Notamacropus eugenii: one gene and its partners. The protein of the gene in region 2 purifies or fractionates together with the protein of the main gene of each other region. This does not show direct contact. Links are inferred from orthologs where the notes say so. Each region holds a gene or a part of one and is shown on either strand. Other genes may lie near its edges.

Region 1 (6,991 bases), on a different chromosome or scaffold from region 2:
AGTTTTCTAGCTCTTCAAATTATTTCGTACTTTACTCATCTATATTCATACTTTATCACACTCCATCCTACCCATAGTAGAATGTGAGCTCCTTGAAGGCAAAGACTTTCCTTTCCTTTGTCGCTTTATCCCCAGTGCCTATCATAATGTTTTATATTTCTTGAATTGAACAGCATTCTATCCAAAACAGACATGAATAATGTAGGGTCGTTAAGGAAAGGTGAAAAGCAAGGAGTTTGTCTTGTTTGACACTGAATGACATGACAAAAAGGCTGGCTAAAGAATAATTTAACAGCTTATCTACCAGTTCACTACTTCAACTACTGAAACACACAGCCTTTCTGTATTACAGTTGTTCTGTGTCCTTCCAAACCAGTCATTCTTTGAAACTGGAAGAGGCGGCAAACGGTAAACAGCAATGGCAATCTCACAGTAATTACTTAGTACACTTGTATACAACTGCTATTTTCCTTCCTGTCTAAATGTGTCTGATATGAAAATTACTTCCCCTTCAACTCAGAAAATGTAGCAAGTGTAATACTATAAGGTATTGTAGTATTCATATACAATTATAAAGTAACTCATTATATAGATATGATTTTTTTCAAATTCTAAGTATCTCCACACCGTATTCTAGGATCCTTATAAGAGTAATGCTCTAGGAGGCAGCTGGAGAATAGAGGGCTGGGTCTAGATTTAGGAAGATGTTAATTCATATCAGGTCTCACATACGCACTTATAGCTATGCGATTCATGTTGTTTGCTGAGGTTTTCTGAACGGCAATGTGGGGAATAATAATATTAACAACTACACAGCAGGGTCATTTTGTAAAAAGCACCTGGCACATAGCACTATGAAAATGTTTACTGCTTTCCCTTAAAATGTTCATGTTATTTCTATTGTTCGAGTGATTATTTTCAAGATTTAAACATTTTACACTTGCAAGAACAGAAAATAAGGATGCAGGCAAAAGTCACAAAAAGCCCTTAAATATTGTATGCCACAAACTTCTTCCTAACCTATCCTTGCGGCCAACCACTTAACCTGTATAATCTTTAAACCCAAATCATGTCATTTGCTAAAAATCTATGTTGTGCCTCAGAACCACGGCCAAACATTAGAAATAACTTTAATTTTTTAAAAGCTGAAGTGTAAGTGTCTGTAGTTGAATCAAATGATCCAGCTTATAAACTGCAACTCTTGCACGGTATACAAAGGGTCGACTCCTGGGGAGTTAACAATTAATCTGATAACATTCCTGAAATTTTCTAATCCTGACTTCTTGTACAAACAGGTGTAGCCTGGTCTGATATAGCTTAATGTTACTAAGGAAGGTAGTTGCATTACATCTCTCGGTTAAATTTTCCCCCCTTACGCTGTGACTGACTGCTTGCTCCCAGGTCACATAAAACTCTGCAGGTGGTAACAAGTAAGGGAGAGGAGGAACTAAGACAGACCTCCAGCTAACTCAACCACAGCCCTGCCCCAAGCCACTGGGAGATGCAGCCCAAGCCTGACAAGGCCTACACCCCCACCCGGCAAAATCCTCCCCAGCCCCAGAAGAGCCGGCAGTCCATGTAAGGAACGCTTTCTCAACAACCCGCAGCAGAACCCGTCGCTCCGCACCGGCCATCGGGGGTTGGACGGAGCCGAGCACCACCGCAGCCTAAGACTTCAGCGCGGCCGTTCCCGTCCCGTCCCCCCGACCCCCCTCCGCTTCCTCGGGGCTCAGAAGTATCAGAGACCGAGTTTCCACTGCGCATGGCGGAGAGGCAAACAGCATCCATTCCCCGCCTCCCCAGCCCCCCCTCCACCTCCCCGGCCTTCCAGGGGAAGACAAGCACCGGTAGGGAGGGAGGGAGGGAGGGAAGGAGGGACCAGGCCCGGGTGAGAATGTAGCAGAAACAAGCCCTGTCGGAGGAGCCGCAGCATTTCCTGCTCGAACCAGACCTTTCGATTGGAAACGGAAGGAGCCGGGGAACAGCTGGCATTGCAGCCCCAAAGCACCCGAGCGTTTCTCCTACGGAGCCCAGCGCCCGGAGGGGGCGGGGGAGAGCGACCAAGCTGGGGCTGGGGGCTGGGGGCGCTTCCTGGCCCCCTTCATTCATTTCTAAGCGCCGGCGTCCGCAGCCTTTCCCGTTTTGGAGGATGCTGAAGGCTACCCAAGGGGGTTAAGTGGGAGCCCGAAAGGAGTCCCGTTTCTGGGGATGGGGAGACTCCCGGGCAAAAGGAACCCCTTCCCCGCCCACCCCCAGTGGCCTGAGAATAAAGTTTGAAGGAGAAGGAGCAGGGAAGGTGACACCGCCTCGGGCCCCCGCCCCCCCAGCCTCCCTGGCTGGGCCCTGGAGGTGGGCAGCGCTCCCGGGACGGACCCTCCCTCCCCTCTCCCACTCTTTCCAGAGGGGGCGGCGAATGTCGGGAAACTGACCACACATTTCTTGCCGAGGAAGCCGAAGAGCGCCTCGTTCTCCTGCGGGGTGAGGAGCAGCGAGCCCACGTTGGTGACCCTCCTCGGCGGCGGCTGCTGCTGCGGCTGGCTGTTGCTCATGGTGGCGGGGGCCGGCGGGGCCGGGGCCGGGGCCGGAGCTGGGGCCGTGTCTTCCGCGTCCTCCTCCTCCGCCGCGGGGCGGCCGGGCGGCTGCGTGGGTCTCCCCCTTGCAGTGACAGGGGCGGGGAGAAGCGGAGTCAGAGCCGCAGCATCTCAGGGCTTCTGGGGGAGGGGGGGACGAGGAGGAGCCGGACGCGGGCGGGGGTTGGGGGGACCTCGCTTCGGGCTTGGTGGAGGAGAGAGGTTGCCGGCTGCCGATGCTCTGCTGTCCGCGTCCTCCGCGACTAGAGACGGCGCTAAACTCTGGACTCCTCCGGCTCCTCCGAGGCAGCAGCGACGGCGACGGCGGCGGCGGCGGCGGCTGCGGTGGGGGCCGCAGAATCCAACATGGCAGCGGGGGCGGGCGAGACCACAGGACACGGGAGGCGGGGGTGCGCGCCGGAAACTTGCGGCCGCCAGAGCCAGAACAACCTTTCTCCTCCTCCCCCCCTCCCCTCGTCCCAGTCCGCCCGCCCAGTCCCGCCCCACAGGCTCCGCCTCCTCGCCTGCAGATCCCGCCTCCCCTTCCGCCCGAGGTGGGAGTGCGGCCGGTGCGCACAACTAGCAGCCCGGCCGCCAGCTGCTCGTCAAGGTGACGATGTGCCCTCGGGCTCTCCTCCCTCTTGAGGTCGACCTGTTGGCCTGTGGAGGCCGCGGTCTCCAGTTAGGGTCCAGCCTCAACTGCTACAGCTTCTCGGGGACTAAAGGACCAGGCGTGGGTGGAGGGATGCGGGGAATCCCATCTCCCTCCTGCACCCCCTCACCTCTCCCCGTGCCCGAACCTCCCAGCAGGCCTTGGCCTCGCCTCCGGGAAATGGGGCTTGTTTGGGGGCTCGCCGACGGAACGCGCGCCCGCCTCGCCCCTTACACACCCAGCCCCCGCCCCGGGCAGCGTCACCCGAAAGTGCAGGTGTCCGAGCTCTTCTCTAGTTTTGTCCCAACTTCCGAGGGAGTGGAGGAGTCTAGCGGCAGGCCGCTCTCGGCCCCGGGGAATTGCGTGAAAGCGCCCGGCCTGGCTGCCTCGGCCCGCCCGGAGGGGCAGTGACGCCGTGCACCTGGTGGACTCCCCGCTTGTGCACGGACCTTCGCCGTGAGCCCCAGAAAGGACTCCTTCTCGGAGGCGGACTCGCCGCCCTCTTCCCACCCGGGAGAGGGGCCGAAGGCTCTCTTTATTTAGTTCCCTTAAGCAGACTCCTTTGGGGATGTTACCTGTAACATCCTTAACAACCATCAGGCGTCAGTGACTTTTCTGTGCCCGGCACATAGTAGGCACTTAAGAAATGTTTGTTGAATTAGTGTAGAAATAGTTGCCGAATGCTTTGAAATAAACCTCAACAATTTTTTAAAAATCGATGTCTTTTATTGTTGTGCAATGCTGAATGCTGATATCACCTGAATTATATTTGGTTCAAATCAATAAGCATTTATGAAATTTTTGCTAAGTGCCAGGCACTGCCCTAGACATAAACGACCCAAGGACAAAGAAAACCCAACTAATCCTTGCTCTCAAGAAACTCACATTCTGTTGAGGGAGACAACGTGCAAACAACTACATACAAACTGTAGAAACAGGAGAGAAAATCACAAAGAAAGCATGAGTAGCATGAGGGAGAGTAGGAAAGGCTTCTGAGAGGATGGGACTTTAACTTGGGCTTGAAGGAAGTCGGATATGAGAAAGAACTTTTTTAGTTGTGGAGGACACAGTAAAATGCATGAAACTGGAGTGTCTTCCAAGTATGAAAAATTAGCAAGGTAGTCAGTGTCGCTAGATCTGAGAGTATGATGAGGGGAGTAAGGTGTAAGAAGACTGGAAAATTAGGAAGGGGACAAATTAGGGCTCTAAAAGCCAAACAGATTTTATATTTGATCCTGGAGGAAATAGGGAGCCAATGGAGTTTATTGAATAGGGGAATGTGACATGGTCAGATGTACTAAGGTTTAGGAAGACTAGCTGATTGGCATTGGGAGAGACTTGAGGAAGGTAGACAGATTAGAAGTTTCAATAAATAAAATTGTTGTATTGGAATATAATAAAGATCTATTACATATATAAATACCGAGATTGGTTCTCTGCTGCCTTTTTCATCCATTGTAAATCTTTGTATGTTTATATGTACTTAATGTACCCCCATAATCAAGTACAGCACCTGGATCAGTACATTCTTAATAAATAATGATTGATTGGTTGTTATATCTCCATTGCCTTAAAATTCTATCACCTAAAACTCTCCCCCAAGAACCTGGTGTTTGGAGGCAGCTAGGTAATACAGCAGATACCTCACTAGCTCTAGAGTCAGGAAGACCAAGAATTCAGATAATTTACTACCTATGTGATCATGGGCAAGTCAAAATCTCTGCCAGTTGCCTCATCTGTAAAAATGGGAATAATAATAGCACTTACCTCATAGTGTTACTGTGTGGATAAAATTAGATGATGTTTGTAAAGTGCTTTGCATACTTAAAGCTCTACATAGAAGCTAGCTGTTATTATTCTGCACCAATGATGAGAATGGGCACATGAAATTATGGGTAGTATAGATAAGCTATTGCCCAGTTTCAGGATGAGGTGTTTTAGCTGTTCATCGTAAAACAAATACAGTTTAAACCCCCCATCAGTTTATTCTCTACCAACAGACCTGGAACTATACATCAAGTAGCAAAACCTTTATTTGGCACAAAATAGCAAAGTCAATAAGCAGGAAACATCCCCTTTTATACAAAAAGAGAGTCTTCTGCAGATTGACATATTGATGCAAGAGATCACACTTTCCTCTAGCCACCATCCCGTAGAGCCGCTTCTACCCTGAACATCTCATGATCTTTGATCTTGAAATTATATCACAGCAGGTAACTCCCTGTGGTAGGAGCCTCATCTGCTCCAAGTAGGCTAAGCTATTAGATTTCCTCTAAAGAGCAAAAAGTATCTTCAAGATTTAATGGTCTTGAAGACTAATGCTTGAATCTTTGATATAGTTTCCTAGTAACCTATGTAAAAAAGCCCAGTAAAGGAGAGCCCTCAGGTATATATCATGGTGGCAAATGGGGAGGCATGGAAGCTGCATCTAAATATATCAGTGTTGTAAGGATCCTGAAAACTCTTTCAATGCTATTAAGTAAATTCCTTTTTGTTAAATGTTATACAGTCTACAAGTGTCTTATATTCCAATATTCCAATCCTGAGCTGTTACCACTAAGTAGGCCTGAGCAAAACCTGATCCACCTCTCAGAAAGCATCTGTATTTCCCTGATGCTGGCTATATGTCACTGCTACTCCACTATACTTTAAAAGCTGTGCATCCTCTCTCTTTCCAAAGCTACCCAGAAGAACTGCTGTTATAATCTGTTGGAGTATGCTGGTAAATTTTTAGCAGTAGTTCTAAAAAAAAAAAAAAGTACAACATGCTTTTAAATTTAATTTGCATTATTAACATTTTCTTAAATCTTGAACAATTAATCAAGCCCTGATTTGTAGCATTTGCCAATTTCTGAGGCATCCCCCCCAAATACACAACCAGGTTCTCATTAGCCTTTTCAACTGTCTCCTGCACACCCCTGTTTTGCTGTGCTGTTTCTCTGAGCTTCTGCAGCCATGGAATTCTAAGGCTTCTTCCTCAAAGAAAGTAATATAACTTTCTCTTATGAAACTACTAACGCCTTGAGCTAATCAACACATTTCAGATCTTTTGTTAATCAGGGTCACATCTACATCTGGCCTAGTCAAACTGGCAGCAAAATCCTTCATCTCAAGATGTTTCTTTCCCAACCAACTTGCACTGTCCTCCCCTGAGGAATTCCCCCAGCTATTTATTGATACCTTTGATAATTAGGTCAGGAAGAGTCAATGCATTCATGGCCTTCAATTCCTGCAGTCTAGTACCAGAACTATGAAAATTGTCCAGAAGTTTTGATTAAGCTTTAAGTAGGTACTTAACTTATTATAACCTTTATCTTAATGATTGCATTAACTCAACATCTACATTACATTTGCTACATTTGTAGCAAATGCTACAAATCAGGGCTTGACTAATTGTTCAAGATTTAAGAAAACGTTAATAATGCAAATTAAATTTAAAAGCATGTTGTACTTTTTTTTTTTAGAACTACTGCTAAAAACTTACCAGCACACTCCAACAGATTACAACAGCTGTTCTTCTGGGTAATAGTTTGGCTTAGTTAGCTAGAACATAGAACATGTGAAGGGTAACCGTATGACATCAGACTGAAAAGGTAAATTTTGCCCAAAACATTGAATGCCAGGAATAGAAATTTATTCTATATTCATTAAGCAGTAGGAATCCTGAAGATTTAAAGTAGGCACAATCAGTGCTTTAGGATGATTATTGGGTCACTGCCATGGGAGATTGCATGGAGACTGGAGAAGTACAAAAGATGATTAGGAGACT
Region 2 (7,827 bases):
GCACAAAATAGGTACTTTATAAATGTTTGTTGTTTGACACTAAATTCAACAGAAAATTAATAAATTAAATAAAACTACTTGAGATTTTTTTCATATATGTTTCTATTCCTATCTTCTGCAAGGCCTTCTAGTTTTAGGATCATAAATCATAAATGGAGAGCTGGAAAGGGCTGTAGTTTTTTGGACAATGAAGTCTAAAAAATCAAAATAAATTCCCATAAGATAAGCAGATAGTAAGTGGTAGCTTCTGAATCGAATCCAGCTCCTCTTGTTTTCAATCCAGTGCACTGTTTCCACTGCAACATGCTGTTTTCGACTTTAGGCACCTATCATCTAGAGTTACCTAATATCAAGGTAGGGCTAAAAGTACAAAACCCCATCACTTTTAAATTATTCTTTTGAAAATGCTACTGTTTCTTTCAGGACTGCTTTGGTAGAGTTCTTAGTCTACCTAAGAACTAAATCATTTTTCCCAGTTCCTCTGAACTTTAGTCTACAACCCAGTTCTTGTTGCTAAGCTTAACTTTTATGTAAAGACACACACAAATCGCAATAGGTGCACCAAGAGCACCTATCAAATGACATTCCCAGTCTACGCTACCAATTAAAGCACATGCCTCCACCAATGAAGCTTTGTGGCACCATTTCAAAGACATACGCCTTCCACTAGTGATGGAAGTGATGGCTCGGGATCCCCCAACACAAGTGAACAAACAACAAAAAAGACTCGGGGAGAAGGAAAAGCCCGTTCTGAAGGTTCACAAGTCTCCATGAGGTGCCCAACTCCCTTCTACCGTAACAAACTTATGGGAGCTCCCCTATCATCCCTACCCTCACCTTTTCCCTTCTTTCTCAGGGTACTAAGCTATACTTCTGACTTTTAAACAGACGTACAACAGAACTTATCAAAATCTTCCCTCATCACACCTCCTTTCTTAAATCCTCAACAGCTGCCTTCAGAGCCTCGTGTTTCACTTACGTGCCAAGATGAAAAGTGTTAATCTGGGGTCTGTGACTCTAGCTGTCTCAAGAATGTGTTTCTAACTGTATTTAATATAACTCCGGTCTCCTCTGCAAATCCTGTGTTTTTCATGCATTTAAAAGGATTGTTCCGAGATGAGGTCCCAGCATGCTGATCCCAAAGGGGCTTACAAAAAGGGGAAGGACCCCTCACCTAGACATTGTCTTCGCTGTAGGAAAAGAAGCGGGGGCTCTCTGCTTTTTGGGGGGTCGGGGGGTGCTACGTTTTGTTTTTTCACTCTTTGCATCTCAGGCTCTTACCGCAGAACCCAGCCCTAAGTAACTGCTTGCTGACTGACTGACTGACTGACTGACTGACTTGCCTCCAGCCCCCGATGCTCCCAGACGGGCGGCGGCTGGGCACCACCGGCCGCCTGGACTGAGAGCGACCGATCCTGAGGGAGGGAGGGACAGACGAATGGATGAACAGTCGGACGGGGCGGGGGAGGCTGGCCAGGAGGAGCGTGCGGGGAGGGAGGGCCCGCAAGGAGACCACAGAGGGCGGGGGGAGGGGGAGGGAGGATGAGGCGAGGACGGGAGGGGGCGGGGAACGGCCGTCCGCCGTCCGGCCGGGAGACTGGCTGGGCCCCCAGCCCTGCCCTCCCCCCACCCGGGGCCAACCTCAGGGCAGCCGGGCTACCTGCCCGCGAGCCGGCCCCGCACTTACCCCGCAGGGCCGCCGCGGTCGCCGCTCAGCCGAGGAGCAGGAGGGAACGACGAGGAAGCCGCTGCCACCGCCGCGGCGGGGATGGGGGAAGGGGGAACGGCCGTTACCGGGCAGGAGGCCTCGGCGCCGCCGCGTAGCTCGGGCCCGAGAGGGAGGGGGAGGGGCACCTCGGAGAGAGGGAGGGAAGGAGGGAGGGAAGAAGAGCGCGCACGGGCGCGCGCACGGTGCCCACCGGCCCCCGCCTGCGGCAGCCTCGCTCCGATCCGTTGGGTCGGCTCCTCCTACTTCTCCCTAGCTCGGTACCCCGCCCCCCAGGAAACTCCCTCCTGGCCGCCGGTGATTGGCTCAAAGACGCTGACTCGAGGAGCGCTCCGAGAGCGGGAGGGGATTGGGCGTAGCTGTCCGTCAATCAAAGTCGCCGGGCACGCGCGCGCTGGGAGGGAACCCACCGGGTGGCTGGTGGCTGGGGCTTGGAGGGCCAGATGTCACTCGCTTGCCTTGTACCTTGCCTCGCGGTTGTCGGGGTGACCTTAAGAGCGCAAACCGAGCCAGGGCAGCAAGCCGCTTCTTCGTGGTGCCCTCGTTGGGTCTGCCCGTTCCTTTGGGCACCTAGCCGCCTCCTCCCCGGTAGTGGCACCGCTGACCTTGGCGGCTTCTATGGCAACTTCCCTTCCGGCTCGTGTCCGGGCTGGGCGGCCGCCGCAGCGCCGTCCGCGAGGCCCAGAGGCTGCAGCACCCTGGTTCTGGGACCTGGGAGGGTCCGGAAGGTCCAGTTGTTTGGTGGAAAGTATAGATCGCGGGGATGGAAATGGGAACCCATCTTCAATTGGGCCGGAGCAGGCGGGCACCCTCCTCCCCCCGATCTCGTGGGCCAGACCAGCCACAAAGACGCGAACCCAAACCATGAGGCTGCGGTCCGGGGAGCTTTACTTCTCATTACCTCCGATCTAAACAGCCACTTCCTTTCTGGCTTACAAAAGAAAAAAAGAGTCGGGGGGGGAAGACAAAGCCATGACACTCACCTGACAAGTTAAAAAGCCGTCGGTGACTTGGGCATTGTCTCCTCTCGGTGTCTCACCTGGCACCTGTTGGGGGGGTTTCCACATCGTCTCCCACAGTCCTGGCTCGCATCCACTTCTTCAAATTCAGTGGATACCACTGCCTGGGAGACAGTACCGCACTAAAGGCACATGTTGAAGGGATTTAGCCAGAAGGGCCTTAGAAATCATCTTCGCCAGCCCTTTTCATTTTCTAAGTGAAGAAACTAAAACCTAGGAGGTTAAATAAGGCACCCAGGTATCTGATCCTGAGTCAAGTTGATGAGCATTTACTAGAGGTCAACTGTGTGTGCTAGGCACTGTGCGAAGGGCTGACAGTCATCTGACTTCCTCTCTGTCTGATAATTGCCAAGATTTAAACCTACATCCCTTGGAATCTTGTAGTTCCTCCACCCCACATCAGCCCTCACAGAAGCAACTAGGAAAGAGATTAATCCTGCTAAAGTCTGGTTTCAATTTATCTCTAAGCTTGTTCTTTCTTGATTTTCTTTATTTTGCCCCCATCTCTTTTTCGGCACCCACACTGGAATGAGACCAGAAGGGCAAAGAAAAAGGGGGAGGGAGGGGAGAGATGGCAAAGCAAAGGGGAAAGCAAAAAAAGGAGATAAGGAGTTATGTAATGAATACCTTCACTGGAAATGTGTAATACTTGAAAGTATTACAACTATTCTGGGGTAAAGACCTCTCTAGAGTATTCCCTTCCTCACCGATGAAGCTTAATTATCTTTTGTTGGTACTTTTCCCTTCTCATATTCTTCTTAAGCGTGTTCTGTATTCACAATATATCAGAATCTTCTTCCCTAGTCAAGAATAGTGCCATTTGGGTTAGGAAGTAAGGGCTGTCTAGAGAGTCAGAGTGGTTGGAATCCCAGCTAAAGAGAAGCTTTGTAGAGTTGTAGGCAATGGATCATAAATCTAGACCTCAGAAGGTGCCTCAGAGGGCCAGCGAGTCTAATATCCCCATTTTACAGATCAGAAAACTGAGGACCAGGGAGGGTAAGTTATTTGACCAAAATCACGTAGACAGTCCAAAAGCATTTATTAAGCATTTACTATGCCAGGTACTGTGCTAAGTCCTGGGGATATATAGAAAGAAAAAAAAATGCCCTCAATGAGTATATATTCTAATGAGAAAGACAACATGTAAATAACTAGGTACATGAAAGATATAGAAAGAGATGAAGATGAGCTGAAAAGGGAAAACATCAGTGGCTGGGGAGTTGGGGGAGAAGGTCAGGAAAGTCCCTCACAAGGTAAAATTTGAGCTCAGTCTTTAAGGAAGTCAGAACTACACTTTAGAAAAATTACCCTAGCAGATGAGTGAAACTAAAATGGGGAGGTACTTGAGACAAGGAGACCAACCAGAAAGCTATTGTAACCCAGGTGTAAAGTGATATGATCCTACATCAGGATGAAAATTCTGTGAGAAGAAAGAAGATAACATGTACTGTAAGTGTAGAAGCAACAAGATTGGCAGTGTATTTGGATTTGAGGAATGAATGAGATCAATGTGTTGAGAATGGCCAAAAGGCTATAGGATAGATGGGATGAGGTCCATTGCTATCCATAAGCGGCAGGAGTTAGGAAGGTACAAAACGATTCCTCCTGATTTCTCCCTGCCTTGAATTACATAGTACATTTGACCTTTTTATTCAGAGGTGGGGCCACTGATGACAGTTGCTAGTAGCCAATTAGGACTAAATAAAGGAGTCTCAATATACACCAAAATATTTATTGCATCACTGTTTACAAAGAACTGGAAGCAAAGTCATCGAATGCGAAATGACTAACAAATCATAGAAGATAAGTATAATGGAATCTTACTATTTCATAAGAAATAGGAATATGATGACTACAAAGAAGCAAGGAAAGCTGTTATACAGAGTAAAGTAAGCATAGCCAAGAAAACAATATACACAGTAACTACAACAATGTAGATGAAAAGAAAAACCACCACAAAATAACTGAAAATGAGTGTTGTGAAATTACAAAGAACAAGCATGGTCCCAAAGAAAGAGACATAAAACATTTCCTTCAATTCCTTTGATGAAATAGAAAGTCCACAGGTGTAGAACCTAGCATATATTTTCAGACCTTTTCAATGTATTATTCAGTTTTGCTAATTGCTTCTTTTATATCTTTTGTTGTATGGGATGGCTCTCTAGGAGAGGCTAGGGAAGGATGCTAGAAGAAATTTAGGAGATATAAAAACAAAGATATATTAAAAAGAGAGATGTGGGTAAGCGGAAGTAACTGAAGGAACTAAGTGTTCTAGGAAAACAATGAGGATGGGTGAATTTTGTGGAACTAAGGCCCTCCCTTACCTGATGTTCTTAAAACCCTATGATGAAGTAGAGAGTAGCCTAGCAATAATAAATTTAAATCCTATGTTTTGTAATATTACATTTTAATGGATTTTGTACCAATTAATTTCAGTTGTAAATTTTTAACATTTGAAAACACTATAATATTTATTTTATGTGGTATAATACAACAGGTATATATATATATATATATATATATATATATATATATATATACATATCTATAGCCATTTTAAAAAAAAAGATGCCCCTCCTACCTAGTGTCCTTTTCCTCCTCTTCTTTTGACTGTCATATTTCTCCAAAAGTTGTCTGCTGTTTCTATTTCTTCCGTCATCTATTCATTCCAAAACCCATCAAGGTAATGAAAAGAATACTGGACTTAAATTTAGGCAACACACTTTCAAAGTCTAGTTCTAACATGTTACATGATTGTGAATTCAACCTCTCAGAGCCTCAGTTTCCCCATCCATATAGTAGGGATAATAATTCAATTATTAACCCTCACAGAATTGTCTTGAAGAAAGTTCTATCCAGGTGTAATTATTACCTTCTGCCCTCAACATTCTGCTCTAACTAATCTCTCAAAGGTCATCAATGATCTCCTAAATGTTATATCTAATGACCTTTGATCAGGCCTCAAACCCAGTTTAAGCTTCAACAGTCAGCAAAACTCTCCTCCTACTATCCTATTTTTCTTCTTTCTGCAAGGTTGGAATAGGCTCCCTGCTCTCCTCTGCATTATAGAACTTAGCCATGCTCATTGTTTCAGTTATAACTTCTATGTAAATGGCTCCCCAAAAGAGGTTTCTAGGCCTGACCTCTCCTCTAAACTACATGAGTTTCTCGCCATCACCTCAAGTTCAAGACTGCTTTGCTCATGGTAGGCATATGCTTAATAAATGTTTGTTGAATTGAACTGAAAATGAATTTATCATTTTTCCCCAAAAATTCCATTCCAAATCTTCCCTACTCTTATCAATAATACCATCATTTTTTCTCTCATGAAGACTTGGAACCTCTCTCTTGTCACATATATCCAACTAAGCACTTAAGTCCTGTGATTTTTTCCTGCCTAATGTCTCAAAAAAAAAAATAACTCATTCATATAAGTTTATATAAGATTTACAGAGCACTTTTCCTACAATAATCCTATGAAGTAGGTAGTATACTTAATATTATCCCAGTTCTACAGATCAAGCTATGACACATAAAGTTTAAGTGATTTGTCCAAAGTTACATAGCTCGTCATAAGTGACAAGGAATTGGAATCCATGGATCTCTAGGTCTTAAGTTCAGTTCTTTCCTGTCTTTTTCATACTTTATCATAGAAGCATAAGGTCATAGATTTAGAGATGATAGGGAGGACCTTAGAGGTCCTCTCATTTTTACGGTTGAGAATACTGAGACCTAGAGGAGTCAAATAACTTTCTTGAGGTCACACAAACACTAAGTTGCAGAGCTAGAATTGGAACTCAGTTCTTCTGACTCTAAATTGTCCCACTTCTGAATTATATTAATAGTCATCCTAGCTAATTTATAATCACAGAATTATAGAACTGGATAGTAAGCTATGAAATAATGTATTATGATCTCTTCACTTCACAGATGAAGAAGCTAAAGTTCAGAGAGCCTATAATGGTCAAATGTCCCAACTAGTTAACCTTAAATCAAGGACCAGAACTCAGCTTGTCTGACTCCATCCCAAGTTTCTTCCATCATATGAAGTTATTGCTTTAATGAATATGTTTTGTTTCCCAAAGAAGACTATTGACCCCTTAAACACAGAGCCACACTTCTCTTATTCTTGCTTGTAGACTTCATAATACCTAGCATGGCTCAATAAATAAATAAATATTGTCAAATTGATATCTATTTGATCAGCATTTGTTGAGTGATTAAATAAATGGACTCTTTAAAAGTTCATAAATTAAATTTTTTGAACATACAATTTAACTTGAGTAGTAAAGACATCTATTCAGAAGAAATCTGTGGTGGATCCCTCTGTTGGTGTTGCTCAGTCATTTCAGTTGAGTCCAACTCTTCGTGAACCCCACTTGGGGTTTTCTTAGCAATGATACTAGAGTGATTTGCCATTTCTTTTTCCAGCTCATTTTATAGATGAGGAACTGAGGCAAACAGAGTTAAGTGACTTACCCAGAATCACACAACTAATAAATGTCTAAGGTTGAATTCCAACTCAGGAAGCTGAATCTTCCCCACTCTAGGCTCTACACTCTATGCACTGTATCACCTTTCTGCCTAGTGATTCCCTTTATAGAGTGAACAATCCTTTTGTAAACTTCAGATATTTTACACATTCAGATTTTAGTATTAGAAGAATGATACTTAAAGCAAGACCTCTGCATTCCTTTCCCTACTGGCTCAGACTCCAAAGGGTGAGAAAATCAATAAGCATGTATTAGTTAAAAGTGTCTTTAATATACCTCATTCAGAAGAATGTTGAGTTTGTTGTTTTATATTTTTATTTATTTAAAGGTCCAAGGAAGGAATGAGTTTTCAAAATTAGGGGGAGAGGGGGGGCACAGATATCATCTATCTTAACCCCTTCATTTTACAGATACAGAAGCTGAGTCCCAGAGAGATTGTAACATATCAAAGAAGTAACCAGTTGGCATAAGTACCCAACTCTCTTGACTCCCAGTTCATTGAGTTTTCTATGACCTCATTCTGCCTCTGTGAACTCAATTGTCAACTGAAAGTTGAAATGAGCAGAATTTGAATATCTGAAATAAAGCA
Region 3 (6,937 bases), on a different chromosome or scaffold from region 2:
CATTTTAGTATTAGTATTGTTACTATCCAAAATATACTTTCCCATAACCAGTTAAAATTCTGGTTCTTAGAGCTGAATCTTGCCTGTCCTATTTTAAATTAGACTTATTTGGTCTTCTTGTTTGATCTTACTCAGATATAGGAAGCAAATTTTCAGTGTTCTCTACATTAGAAACACCTTCCAAATACCTGAAGGATTCGAAAGGATTTTCCTTCCCTTGACAACTTTAATTCTTTCAACCTTTTTATTTAAAATCTTAATTTTATTCCATTGATTATTTTGCTGTTTTTCTTTTGACACTCTTTTATATATCTTTTGAAGTGTTGTTACCTCAACTGGTTACAATATTGATTAATTCATAGTTCACCGGATAGATTTTTTTTCCTGCTCCTTGCACAGTCACTTTGTTATATCCTAGCGCTAGGTGGACATTTTCCTGCTACCCAATCTTCCCCCAACTTGGTTGACAGGCAACATAGCCTAGTGAATGGCATAGTGGACTTGCAGCCAAAAAAGGTCTGGGTTTGAATCTTACCTTTGATAATTGTAAGTCATAAATTTAGAGTTAGAATGTACCTTAAAGATCATCATAGCAGCTGCATGACTGTAGGCAATTTAATGAACCTCCATACCTCTCTAGGACTTATCTATGAAGCCTAAAATATCTACTATCTACTAAGTCATAGTTGATGATATTTTATTTTTGTCTTAATGAAAGCTCCATTACTTATTCTATTTGAAATACATCATAATTTAAAAGTCCAAATAATAACCATTTTATCAAGACATTTTAAATTTTATTCCTGTCCTTCTGAGTATTAGCAGCTCTGCTTGATCAATTCTTAGGAACTTCAAAAGATTTTTGATTTAATGGATATTCCCACCATCTCTTGCCTTAGTAGATATGTCAAGATTTGCCCTTGGCACTACCCCTCACCTGCCCTCCATCACTTGGTGGTTAACTTTCTGGCAATGAGGCTCTTTGATCTTAACCTAGGCTGGTCCTTGGATGACAGTCCCATGCTCACAGCTTTTCCCACTTTATGGTAACTTAAGCATCTAGAACCCTCCCCAGGCCCCAAGGAACAACATTATCTGCAAATGTATTGATATTATTCTAAATTCCTTCTGTGGATCATCTTAATAGTAGTAAATACAAGGGAGGAGGGAAAGATTTTTCTGGAAATCTTAGCTTAGGTTAATAATACTGATAATTAGCATTTGGTTAAAACTCTTGGACCAGATATTTACCTCCCTTTTCTTGGTCATCATATAAGGAAAGCAGCATAATTTATGTTTATTTAGCATAATCATGAGGATAAGAAGTGGACCTTAATGCTAGTGCCTTCTCTCTGTTGGTTATCTGCAACTTATTCTGTATCCATCATTTGTACATGGCTGTTTGCATGCTTTCTCCCCCATTCCCACAAGACTGTAAGTTTCTTGAGAGCAGGGACTACATTTTGCCTTTCTTCGTATTCCCATCATTTAGAGCCTGGAATACAGCAGATGCTTAAAAAATACTAGGTGACTGATTGATTTCATTAGAATAGGGAATTTCCAGATGAAGAAATTCCGTCTACCAATTCAGGTTGTGACTGTCTCTGTGGCTTGTCGTCTGAGAACTGTTTACAGTACTGAAAGGTTAAATGATTTGCCCAAGGTTGAATAACCTAGATGGACCAAAGGTAGGACTTCTTGAACTCAGGCCTTTCTGGTTTGGGGGCCAATTCTGCATTCACTATGACATACTGCCTCTCTGTATAATTATAGGGACATAAAAACAGATTCGATGCCTTGATATGAAAACAATATGGTATTTATTGCCATTTTTGTCCAAAAAATCAAGCTGCTTCTGGCATTATTTTGAGTATTTACATACAAATGTGAATGAATATTAAAATAATGAAGAGGAAATAGAGGCAGTAAAGTTGAACCAGAAAACATAGGAAGAATGGTATTAATTGCCTACAACAGTGGAGTACTGAATGAAAGCAGAAGTTGAGGTAGGGGAGAGCATTGTAAAGTTCTTTTGGATATTTAAAAATCTTATATAGCTTTCCAGTCCTTTCCATAAACTATCATTATGGAAAGTCACAAAAAAAGCAAACAAGGAAAACATTGGCAGACTGTAGACATAATGAGTGGAAATAAATGTAGCAAAGGAAAGCCAATGCTTTAGCCAGCATATTCTATTTCAATAAAAGACTTGATTTCTCCTGTGAACCGTATGGAGATGAAAGAAATGTGTAAATATCATTAGCCATTTCTTTCTTTTTCTTAAATAAGTCTTTTTTTTTTTCATTTACACAGCATGTTTTGAAGCTAAGGCTAGGAAAGAAAGAAAAATGATACCAGTTCCTAACTGACCATCCCCACCATGCTCCCACATGCTAACCATGGGCTGTATGCCCCATGTCTACTCTTAAAGTTCTTTGTAGAAAAAAATTGACTGGATCTAACTGTGACATTCCTCCCAAACCAACTTAAGAAATCAATCAAACCCAATATTGATTAAATACAAAATAAGTCTTCCTTATGTCTCTGTGTAATACCATTTCTGATTTTTCCCCTAGATTTTTGGATCGAATATCTCCATTTAAAATGGAATAACTACCAAGTTTCTACTAGATATTCTGTCCTCACCCAAACCTCTAGAAGGGGCCACTAATTGCCAGCAAGCCACATTAACCAACCCTCCACTAGGGGACACACAAGACTCAAGCTGTACTGAGTTAGATTGCAGTTCACGTTCACAGGGACACACAGCATTATTGAAAACCCACTCCTGCCCAATTTAGACCCATGGACATGGCAAAAAAAAGTATATTACGTGATTGTTGATTTGTAACAGTGAGGAGAATGCCACGTATTTGGGGCCCCCTTCCTCACCACTCACATTTAAAAAAAAAATAAAATTGTCATAAATAAAAGGAGGAGGGAGCATTATGGGAAACTTTGGGTGGTTGGTTTTTTTTTTTTTAACAACACATTATAAAAATCGAAAAACCGTAAGTCTTTTTAAGCAAAGGAGTGAGGCATAAGGACAGAGAATGAAAGGAGTAAAGGAAGATTCTTCCAGATGGTGTCTCCTTAAAATTGCCCAGGCAGAAGCGCAAATGGTTAACATATTGTATAAAGGAAAGTGCACATGGGCACCTCGCACTTGTACAGTTCGAGGATAAAAGGCTGCCACCCGCGACTGAAAATGAACTAGTTTCTCTAGAGGTCAAAGGGACTTCTTTCAGACGGTGCTTCCTTGGCTGAGATGGTACAGACACACTATACCCAAAAAAAGACTTTACATGATATACACCTGACCAACTAAAGATATTTAGCGTCTAGATCTGTGAATTCCTCTATCCCACGACCACATTCTACACTGGCACTTGGTCCAGGACGTCAGCTGCTGGATAAACCTTTGCAGACTGGCTCTGGAGACACGTCTTTGTATCTGTGGGTCGTGCTGGAACGCCAGCACGCCTCGGATACCCCAGCCTCGCCCCCCGGGCGCCTCTGCTAGGGCCCGTGCTCATGGCTAGAACACGCTAAGACGATGACAGGATGTGGAGCTGGTGGCAAACGGCGTCTTTTCTTCTCCTCCTGTCAGTGATGTCATTGGGCGACAGCAGCTGAAGGAAGGCTCGGAGGAGGAGGAGGAGGCGCCCGGCTGTGGCTGCTGCTGATGCAGGTTCATGTGCATATAATGAAAAGGCACTTGACAGTCTGCCAAAACGCACGAGAGGGAGAGAGGGAGAAACTGGACCTGCTGGATTTCGCAAAGCCAATCGTCATCATCTGCATCTACATGGGGAAGGAGGAGGAGGAGGAGGAGGGATCAGCAGCTCCAGCCGCCGCTGCTCCAATGTGAAACCACAAGCCAAAAGGGGGGGATCCAAAAAAAAGAGAGGCGGCGGGGGGGCGGGGGGAGAGAGGCGGCTCCGTGGGCAATTCTCTCCCTTTTCCCTGCGGATTCCTCTTCCTCCGGCAGCTATGAATTCCGCCGAACAGACCGTTACGTGGCTGATTACCTTGGGGGTGCTGGAGTCGCCCAAAAAAACCATTTCGGACCCGGAGGGCTTTTTGCAGTCGTCTCTGAAAGATGGGGTGGTCCTCTGCAGGCTGCTGGACCGCCTGCTCCCTGGGACCATAGAGAAAGTAAGTGCAATATCTCCTCTCCACGCCTTCCACCGCGCTCCCCCCACCGCACCCCACCCCACCGCACCCCACCCTGCCTACCCCCACCCCCTGCTCTCCTCCACAGAACTGATCGTGCCAGCCCTGGCCGGATGGTGTGTTTCACCGGAGGGCACACACACATCTACACACCCCATTTTCTCTCCACCCCCCGCCCCTTCCTCTCCCTTCCAAGGCTCGACCACCTCTGCCGAAGCCGGGAAACGCCTTTGAATGTGCTCGGGCACAATGACCTAACCTCGGGGCTGCTGGGGCGTGCGGGGAAGCGGCCAGAGGGGCCGCGCTGCCCCGGGGCGCTCTGCCTGCCTCCCGGCCAGCCCGCCCGGTCTGGGGACTTCGCCCTACGCACTTTCCTTTGTGCGCTGATCTCCCTCGGAGAGCCGGGTCAGCGCGGAAAGCGGCGTGCGGCTTCTGCGGGGTGAGCAGCGCTCCCCCAGACCCGGGGAGCGGGAGCTCCAAAGGCGCCATTGTGTGGGGGACGTGGGGAGGGGGCGGGGGGGGCCGGGCCCGGAGCGAGCCGAGGGGCTTCCGAGGCGGCGGCGGGGGCACCCGGAGCCCGAGGAGGCGCGGCGGCGTCCAGACCTAGCCATGCGTCCGTCCTCTGTCCTCTGCCACCGCCGCCCACCGCTCCGGCTTTGGGAGGGAACCAGAGTCCCCCCGCGCAGACTGGCCATGACTTCTGCTTCTCAGACGTTATAAAAAGTCGAGGGGGCTCCAGTTCCGTGACCCCACCGGAAAAACCCGTTTGGATGCGGCACCGTCTCCCGAAGTGCCACTCTCGGGACCAAACCTTCGGTCACGCTCAACAGTTCAACTTTTCTCTTTTTGGGGGGAGGGGGAAGAAGAAGGAGGGGGTCTAAACGCACTGGTTACTTTGTAATTCTCCCCCGCGTGCACGCAACAAAAGCTGGTTAATTACTTCGATGTAGCAAGAATTCCTCCTGTAGTCTGAAGGATCTTGGGATCCCTTCAGTTAAAACCCCTAAACGTGTGAGTATTGGTTTAAGATGCTTGAATTTTATTCCCAGATTTAGACCTTGGATCCGAGCAGAACTGATCTAGCCCTAGAGACCCTGTTACTCATAATGTCTGCAGCCAATAAGCTGCACACTCACTCATTCAGAGGAACATATGTGCGAACTTTGACCTGCTTATCTTTGAGAGCCTAAAGTTTATCTTCATGCTGGACAGGAAGATGAGAAAAGGGAGGATCCGGTGCAAAGGACTGCACAAAGGATGCTCCCTCTTTTAAATGTCAAATTCTACTTCCAATTTTTTTCTTCTGTGAAACAGCATTAAAACTAGTGAATAATGATTATAAAAAGGTTGAATATCTAAATTTGAACACTTCAGAATTAGAATGATGTCTGGAAAAGAATGAATTATATATTTTTAATATTTGTATACTATATATTAGCCATTCCAAATAATGAAGTAGCACTTTAATCATAATACAACACAAGTCGTTTATAGTCAAATATTATAGAAAGATACATTGTTACAGAACTCACCAATAAGTTTGAATATGTCCTTTTTCTTTCATTTTAAAAGACAAATCTTCTTTATTGATAGCAGATTATGAGAATCAGAAAATATTTATGGGGCACTTACAATATAGAAAAGCGCTCACTATTACAAGTACTTGGGGGATCCAAAGATGAACCATATCACATGCTTTCATATTTTTCTTGCTAGGGAACAACTTCGTAAAAAATGACCCCTCTTTTTTTTTTTTTAAATGAGTTCATCCTATTCTGCCTGACCTTGAAATAAAAATGTTTTGCTTGTAAATGATCCTAATGTCATAATAGAATTGTGATTTAAGATAGGAAAAAAGGAGTAGGAACTAACTTTTCAGAAACCCCAAAGACTTTGTTATCATTTAGATATCAGTATCTCTGGTAATAAAAACCAGATGAGAAGTACTGAAACTAAATGATAAATTAGCAGAATTATGGACAGAAAATATTTGTTATAGGTTCTAAAAGCAATACTTTAAGGAACTTAATCTTTTGTGTTGATAGCAAACACAGTTTTCTAGAAATGTATACTATTATATATAGGCCTCTAGAGTTATTTTAACTAGTAAATTTTGGTAATCAGTGGTTTCGAGTTAATATTTCTCTTTAGATTATGGAAAGGTATTCTTTAAAAACTTCAGAGATCACCTCATCTATTGAAAAAAAGTAGAGGGTTATAAGTTAGGCTTATAGAAGTCTCAAATAAAAAGTATCAAAATGAATGCTAATATTGAGACCCAGCCCTCTAAAGTCATTGAACAATCACTTTAATTGAGTATTATTTTCTCATTTTCAGAGATTATAGTGTAAGATCATCCTGTCATCATATATGATGAAATTATAAACTAAGAAATATCCATGGTTCAAAAAAGACTTTCTAGGGGTAGAACCTCAGTTTTGAAAAGTTCTCCTAATCAAGAGGGATGTCAGAGGAATTATAAATCTACTTCTTTTCTTATACAAAGTTATTCATTTAAAAAATATTGCTGTACATATCAAATAGCATATGCTGTAGTGCATACAATTCTGATTCGCTTGAAAGTAGACTATGAGATGGAATAATTTTTCCTTTAAAATGAAAAAAATCTGAATTTCACTGCATCTCAAATGTTGAGATGATAGACAAGGGGGAGGGGCATGCAGTCTGTGCTTGTTTTCTTTAAAATTTAAAGGATCTGAATCCTTGCCACTATACCCTGCTTCACCAAAATAATTTTAAC
Region 4 (7,002 bases), on a different chromosome or scaffold from region 2:
TGTATTGTTTCTTAGCACCAGAAAGTACCATGGGTCACAGAAATGTCATAAAAAAGGCTTAAAAAAAGTCTTCTCCAACCTTTAGGATAAATGCATGAAAGAACATGAATAAGAATCTCAAGCAGCCATAGCAATGACAAGAACAGCAGTGGTGATACCTTCCACCAATACCACATTCACTTTCTACCTACTTTGGAGGGCAAGGCACCTGGCACAAGCAAAGCTTGAAAGGTAAAGGACTATATATTCTGACAATCATTGTTATATGTACCTGTCATTATTTCAAAAATATTTTCCTATCTTTTTTAGTTTGAGGGTAAAATGTGTGTGTGTGTGTGTGTGTGTGTGTGTGTGTGTGTGTCTGTGTATTCAACTGATAAAATGAAAAAAGTTTTGAGAGTCACTAACAGGATTCTTAGCATTCTGGTTTTACTAGGGAGAGTAAGTAACATGAGGCAATTTATGTTAATAGAAGAGATTCCTGGTAGAGTTTAAACCGCTTCCAAGTTTTGCAATAGAAAAACAAAAAACAACTACACTGACAAAGAAAAAAATTGGACAGGTTAAAACATGTTACCACACCAAGTACCTGTTGTATTTCCCAACATATAAAATCAAATGGAACCTCCCTGTTTTGAAGGATCTATCAACAGCCGTTGAAAGTAGGCTTTTAGAAGATTCCGATAAGGTATTTTACGTTTTGACTTGTAAGATCCTTCCAATTTTCACCTGAATTTTCAAAGCTTGACTTTGGAACTTCAGTTCAGTATGTGCCTTTCATTTTGGTGAACTACAAAATTATTTCTTGGTCTGCAAAACTAACTTTTTTAAAAATCTATATTATCAGTGGATAAGAATAAGAGTCAATCATTTTTTTCTACAGTTATGGTATTAGCACAATGCTTAGCAGGTAGTTGAAGTGAACATGAAAATTAAGAAAGATTCTAAATATTCACAAAAGCAACCATTCATTTTCTTTACTTTTAAGGAGAAATAAAGTGGAGGAAATGCAAGCATTGGCAAGATAGCTACAAAAAAAGAGCTATTTCCAAAAATTGTCTCTATGCCTCCTTATTATTGAAGTAACCAGAACTTTCAAAAGCCCTTATCTGCCATGACTATCCAATATTAAGTGCCCATTACAGTTTGTCCATTATTTCCACACCCTAAACATTTACAGCTGAGTTGTGAGAAAGGCATTTCCATCTAAACTCAATTCAGGAAATAAAAATTCTCTAGACATTCTCAAGGTTTCATGATTTTATATTACACGACTTTTACATCATTAGAAAGGCTATACCAAATGTCTTAGTACAGTTCTGACTTTTGGGGCACCCTGCAAGTGTGGTATACGTATGAATATATGTAGGAATATCGGTATGTGGGTAGATAGATATATTTGTGTATATTTCCACATACATACATTTGAATGCAAATATGTTTATGTGTGTGTAGTTTTCTGCCTTGGAAACAATTTTTAATCATCCTAACCATCTATCTCAATTAGAAGTAAAAGAAAACTGTGGTCAGAAAACTGGGAACCCAACAGAAAGAAGAGGTTCTAAGTTATAGATAAATGCGGGAGTTTTAAGAACTTTTTTTAAATTTTTGACGGATAAGGGAGAAGGGCGGTCACTCAAGGCAGCTCTCCAGTAGTTAAAAATAATTCAAGACGAATAATTCTACCCGATCGCTCTAATCACCCTCCCGCACGAGAAGCCAAAGCCCAAGAGCGGAAGTGAAACTGTGGATGGGGGGTGGGGGGACCGGTCTGGAAACCCGCGAGTCCGCGGCCAAGCCCGGGGGTCAGGGGGTCCATTCACTTTCTTCCTCTCCAGAGCCCTCCCCCAAAGGGCCCTTCTCCCCAGCGAGGTGACTCAGGACAAATAAATAAAATAGAATACAAGGCACACCCTCTGGGGCTAGCTGACATAATCCACCCCCCTCCCTCCCCCCGCGCTTACCCCACCCTCTCTCCCCGACAGTCACACTCACACACACTCCAGAACACACATATACCTACAAGCACACACGTAACAGTCACACAAACATGAGTGCACATACATAATCTCACCCATGGTCACACATACATGGAGTCGCGCTCACATATACATACACACAATCATACACCCAAACACTCCAAATCACTCAGATACATACAATCACACACTTACAAGCACACACGTATATACTTACAATCACACACACACAAGCACATACACATATATACCCACAACCACAAACACACAATAACACACACACATACAAGCACATACACATATATACTCAATCACACACACACAGACGCTCCCCGCCCGCCCCCCGCCCGGCTCTTGGCCGCGCTGCCTCAGTTTCCCCGCTCCGTAGCCGGCTCCCTCCGGCCGAGGCTCATCGGGCGCGGGTGGCGGTGGTCGCCGCGGCCCCAGCGGCCGCAGCGGGAGCCCGGGCGCGCCAGGGGTGTCAGCGGGGCAGCCCGGCCGGCGGGCGGGCGCAGGGCGAGGCGGCGGCAGCGGGTCCCCTCCGGGCGCTCGCCCATTTTCTCGCTCTCCCCCTTCTCTTCCCACCCCAGCCCACTTCCTGTGGCGGAGCCCCGGCCGGGGGCGGCGGGCGGGCGGCGGTGCCTCTCCCCGGGGCGGGGGCCCGGCCCCGGGCGGGGGCCGCTCCTGACCCTCCCCTCCCCCCGCCTCACCTGTATGTAGTTGTTCTCACAGTAGTCCGCCACCCGGGTCAGGTTCTGGTAACTCTCGATCAGCGCCCTCTTGCCGGACGGGATCTCTTCCTCTAGCAGCATCTGCAGCTCTGCCATTTTCCACTCCTCCGCATCGCTTCCTCTCACGTCCAAGAGACAGCGAGCGGCGGCAGCGGCGCGGTGAAGTCCGGGAGTCCAAGCCTCTGAGCCCGGATACAAGCCGCCTACCCGCCCTCCCGCCTGGTATTGTGGGACATCACCTCCTCCTCTTCCTCCTCCTCACCCCCACCCGCTGCGGTCTCGTTCTCGCGATGCGCGAGCTTTCAGCTCCCCTTCCCCCCGCAACCCCCGCAGCTTCTGAACAGAGAGATTGGGTTTTCCCCTTTTGCATTGCCCTCTGGGAGTTGTAGTCTTCTCTCCCCACCACCCCACCCCGGGGGACTTTCCCGGGATGGCAACTGCGCAAGCGCGCGAGCTACCGGCGGGAGAGAGGGAAGGGAAGTGTGGAAGTAGCATGGTGGCATTATGTGCCGAGCCAGCCGAGAGGTCTGCCCTCCTGCCTGCCAGCAGGTGGCACCTGAGAGGGAGAGAGCCTGGCTTACTAGTAACCACCAGGTGTTTGTCAGCTACTGGAAAAATCCGAGCCGGGAGACGGGGATGGGTGTGCCTTGACCTTAACCGTGCCCTTCCTGTGGCCTCGGTGAAAGGTGGCCCGCCCTGCCCCCCAGGCCTCCCACACCGGCCGCGCCCGCCTCCCCTTCCGCACGTTGCCTCCGGACATCCCCCCGTGCCTGGCACGCAGTGGGCGCTTCATAAATGCACACCCCCTCCTCCCTCCCTCAGCCGGCACGGGTCCCTTCCTCCGTCCTGGATCGGGGCGCGGGCCACGTGCTGGCTGCCCCAAATGCAATGGCATCAAACTCATCTGAGACTAGTCGGAACTCCCGTTTAATTCCGGCCCCCGGAATGCCGGGGATGGCCAAGTCCACAAGCCTCCGTTAGGCACCCACCCGTGCCCGCGCGACGTCGCTCGAATCGGGGAAGTGGCTAATTGGCCTGCACCTCCTGAGCTCCACGCGGGGTGGGGGGGGCGGTACCCTAAACTATTCAGGCTTCTCCCGGGGGAGCCTTCTCCATTCCCCTTTGTCGCAAGGGTCGCACTGCTCCCTGCGTTTGAGAGAAATCTTCTCATTTTTAACTGGTATTAGTGATAGCTAGCTTGAAAGCTGGCAAAAAATACCATTTTTGGTAAATGGTAAAAAATACCATTTTTTTATCCTTATGACAAGCCTGAGGGGCATTATTCCTGTTGGGTGAGGCAGCAGAGAGAGCTTAAGTGACTTGCCCAAGGTCACACGGCTAGTAAGTGTCAAGTGTCTGAGGTGCCATTTGAACTCAGGTCCTCCTGACTCCTGCACTGGTGCTCTATCCACTGCACCACCTAGCTGCCCCGATTTCACTAGTATAGCCCTTGTGAAGAAACTCCTTCTGTCAGTGCTAGTTGACATCTTCTGAGAGTTGCCTGAATAGAACTGTATAGCAACAAAAAAAAAAAAGTATTTAAATATAATGTTGAATTTCAACAACATAATTTTTTTTACAACAGCAATTAAGAAAAATTTTGCGTTTGTCTACAGGGCTTTACCATTTTCACTTATATCTCTTTTAATCTGCATAGCAGCTCTCTAAAGTATGCATAACAGGCTTTATAATCCCTATTTTCGAAATGAAGAAACTGAGACTCGGAGAAATGAGTCAGTCAATTAGAAGCTAAGTGATTTATCCAAGTCAGCACATTAAAAGGCAAAAACAAAAATAGAACCCAGTTTTCAGATTCTTAATGCACTCCTTCCACTGTTCAATGCTACCTACACTTGCAATATGTAAAAAATATGATGTACTACAGTATGCAATCTGTAATTATGGTGACATTATTTTCCAAACTCCAAATCAGCAGCCAACAAAATAATTTTTAATATGACTTATATTGCAACAGAATAGAAGATTTCAAATCAGAATCAGAACTAAAATAGTAAGGTAGATAATCATCAGGCCTTTACTGATTCTACTTTAAGAGATACACTTTGAATGAATTTTTTATTAATAGTCCCTCCTGGGGGAAAGGGGGAGGAGTTTAAAGCCTGAAGCTGTGGAGCATAGTTTTTCTATATTTCAAATTTAAAAGCTTATATGCTGTAAAACTCATAATTGTAGAACCATATTCTAACAAACTGAGCTAACTATATGCCAGAATCTTTAAAACATATGGCAATAATAATAAATAACTAGCCTTGTTATAGCACTTAAAGGGATGAAGAGCACTTAACATTTTTATCTCATTTCGTCCTCACGATAAACTCAAGAGGTAGGTGCTCTTATTAGCCCCCTCTTATAAATGAGGAAACAGAGGCAGACAGAAGTTAAATGACTAGTCCAGGGTCACTTAGCCAGTAAGCACCTGAGACTCTGCAATAGCACATACATGTTATTAGTAAAGCATAATATCATAGAATCTTTAGAACTGGAAGAGACGTTAGCAGTTCTCTAGTCTAGCCTTTTACTCAATTCAAGAGTCCCTTTCTTGGCATTCCTGACAGAGGATCATATTCCAATATCTCTTGAACACTTTTTGATAAAGTCCATCAGTCCTCTGCTTAAACATTTGTGGGGCATGTGGCATACAGAAAGTAGCATATAAATGTTAGCTATAATTATTCGTTATTATTATTTACAGTGCGAGGGAGCTCACTACTTTACAAGGAACCCTATTCCGTTTCTAATTGCTAGGAACTTCTTACTCCTATTGTGCTAAAATCTGCTTCTCTTATAATTTCAACCATCTGGCCTAGTTCCACCCTTATAACTGTTGCAGATTTTGCCTTCCATTTAATAGCCCTGTAATGTATTCTGTATACATATATCCTTATGCATGTATATGTATGTATTCTCTTCAACAAGCTAAAAATTCACAGTTCCTTCCACTATTTCTTATCTGGCATGGTTTTCAGCTCTTAGTCATGTTCCTCCAGGCATAATTGAATCCAGTTCTCTAAATGTGGCCTTACTACGGAAGAATACAGCAGGACTGTCACCCTTCTTTTCTCTGAACACCCCCTTAGGTACTTCAAAGGCTCTGTTATCTCATTTCTGTGGATATTTTCTCCATGGATACAGATCCCAGGTCATCCGCATCTTCTTGTCCAATGTGATTATTATTCAGGTTTGTCCTTCATTCTTGGAGATGAACATGACATCAGGAAGATGATGCCATGACTTGCAGGTAAATTAGATTTAAGTGAGGAAGGACTGTGCAAAGTCACCAGCCTTTCTCCTCCTGAGTCACATTCTCCTCTGGGTCCAGTTGTAAGATTTGGATCAGAATGACTGGAGATGGCCCTCAATTATTGTTCATGTCTTTCAGTGAATGTATTCAGAATCTACCCAAAGTACTGAATGCCTTTTCTAGTAATTTTAATCTTTTGGGCCTACCTGTAGAACACAGGAGCTGTTTTAACAAGTCTAATTTTCTGACAGATATCAGAACTGTCTAAGTATGACCTGCCTTAAAAATGAAATGGGACTCCTTGTGAAGTCATCCCTTGCACTTGCTGTGTGACTGGCACACTTCCTTTTCTAATCGTATGTATGCTTCACAATGTCTTTTTTTTTTAATTTGCTTTGATATCTTTGGTTTTTATATCACCATCATTTCTCAAATATCCCTCCTTCCTACACCACTGAAAAACCTTTCCTTGTTAGTAGCTTTCTAGTTAGTAGTTTCTGACTCTTCATGACCCAATTTGGAATTTTCTTGGCAAAGATACTATAGTTCTTTGTCATTTCCTTTTCGAGCTCATTCTACAGATGAGAAAATGGAGGCAAACAGGGTTAAGTTACTTGCCCAGTATCACACAACCAGTAAATGTCTGAGACCAAACTTGAACTCAGGAAGATGAATCTTTCTGAGTCCAGGCCCAGCTCTTTATGCACTTTGCCAGCTAGCTGCCCCATCCCTCATAACCATCCCTCATAACAAAGATGAGGAAAAAAGGGGGGAAGCAGTTTGGCAAAACTACAAAGAAGGAAGGAAGGCATAATATCTTGGCATAACATCTCTTCATTCCCAAGCATAGGCATTATACTGATGCAGCATTCCATTTCTGGGTGAAGAGGGAGGGGGAGGGGGAGCAGAGGGTACTGTCCTTTACAATTATGTCGTCATCCTGTGCATTGTTTTCCTGGTACTGCTGACTTCACTCTGCCTCAATAAGTCTCCCAGGGTTTGTCATATTCATCATTTCTTATGGTACCTG

Evidence for each region.
Region 1: the proteins of NCK1 (region 2) and WASL purify together in Homo sapiens (co-immunoprecipitation; 4 studies listed by BioGRID and IntAct, with this or other methods). This does not show direct contact. The link is inferred for Notamacropus eugenii from reciprocal best matches to the Homo sapiens genes NCK1 and WASL.
Region 3: the proteins of NCK1 (region 2) and ARHGEF7 purify together in Homo sapiens (co-immunoprecipitation; 3 studies listed by BioGRID and IntAct, with this or other methods). This does not show direct contact. The link is inferred for Notamacropus eugenii from reciprocal best matches to the Homo sapiens genes NCK1 and ARHGEF7.
Region 4: the proteins of NCK1 (region 2) and ABI1 purify together in Homo sapiens (co-immunoprecipitation; 4 studies listed by BioGRID and IntAct, with this or other methods). This does not show direct contact. The link is inferred for Notamacropus eugenii from reciprocal best matches to the Homo sapiens genes NCK1 and ABI1.

Annotation. Positions count from the first base shown.
Region 1 is NC_092874.1:127,332,749-127,339,739, reverse strand, and holds the start of WASL (actin nucleation-promoting factor WASL), read right to left. Parts: upstream 3,018-6,991; 5' UTR 2,550-3,017; coding exon 2,430-2,549; intron 1-2,429. UniProt on the Homo sapiens protein: Regulates actin polymerization by stimulating the actin-nucleating activity of the Arp2/3 complex. Involved in various processes, such as mitosis and cytokinesis, via its role in the regulation of actin polymerization.
Region 2 is NC_092876.1:330,764,339-330,772,165, forward strand, and holds the start of NCK1 (SH2/SH3 adapter protein NCK1), read right to left. Parts: upstream 3,008-7,827; 5' UTR 2,710-3,007; intron 1,979-2,709; exon of another isoform or gene 1,688-1,978; intron 1-1,687. UniProt on the Homo sapiens protein: Adapter protein which associates with tyrosine-phosphorylated growth factor receptors, such as KDR and PDGFRB, or their cellular substrates. Maintains low levels of EIF2S1 phosphorylation by promoting its dephosphorylation by PP1.
Region 3 is NC_092877.1:211,259,185-211,266,121, reverse strand, and holds the start of ARHGEF7 (rho guanine nucleotide exchange factor 7), read left to right. Parts: upstream 1-3,921; 5' UTR 3,922-3,993; coding exon 3,994-4,158; intron 4,159-4,382; exon of another isoform or gene 4,383-4,532; intron 4,533-6,937. UniProt on the Homo sapiens protein: Acts as a RAC1 guanine nucleotide exchange factor (GEF) and can induce membrane ruffling. Functions in cell migration, attachment and cell spreading. Promotes targeting of RAC1 to focal adhesions. May function as a positive regulator of apoptosis.
Region 4 is NC_092874.1:67,587,203-67,594,204, forward strand, and holds the start of ABI1 (abl interactor 1), read right to left. Parts: upstream 3,023-7,002; 5' UTR 2,807-3,022; coding exon 2,690-2,806; intron 1,933-2,689; exon of another isoform or gene 1-1,932. UniProt on the Homo sapiens protein: May act in negative regulation of cell growth and transformation by interacting with nonreceptor tyrosine kinases ABL1 and/or ABL2. May play a role in regulation of EGF-induced Erk pathway activation. Involved in cytoskeletal reorganization and EGFR signaling.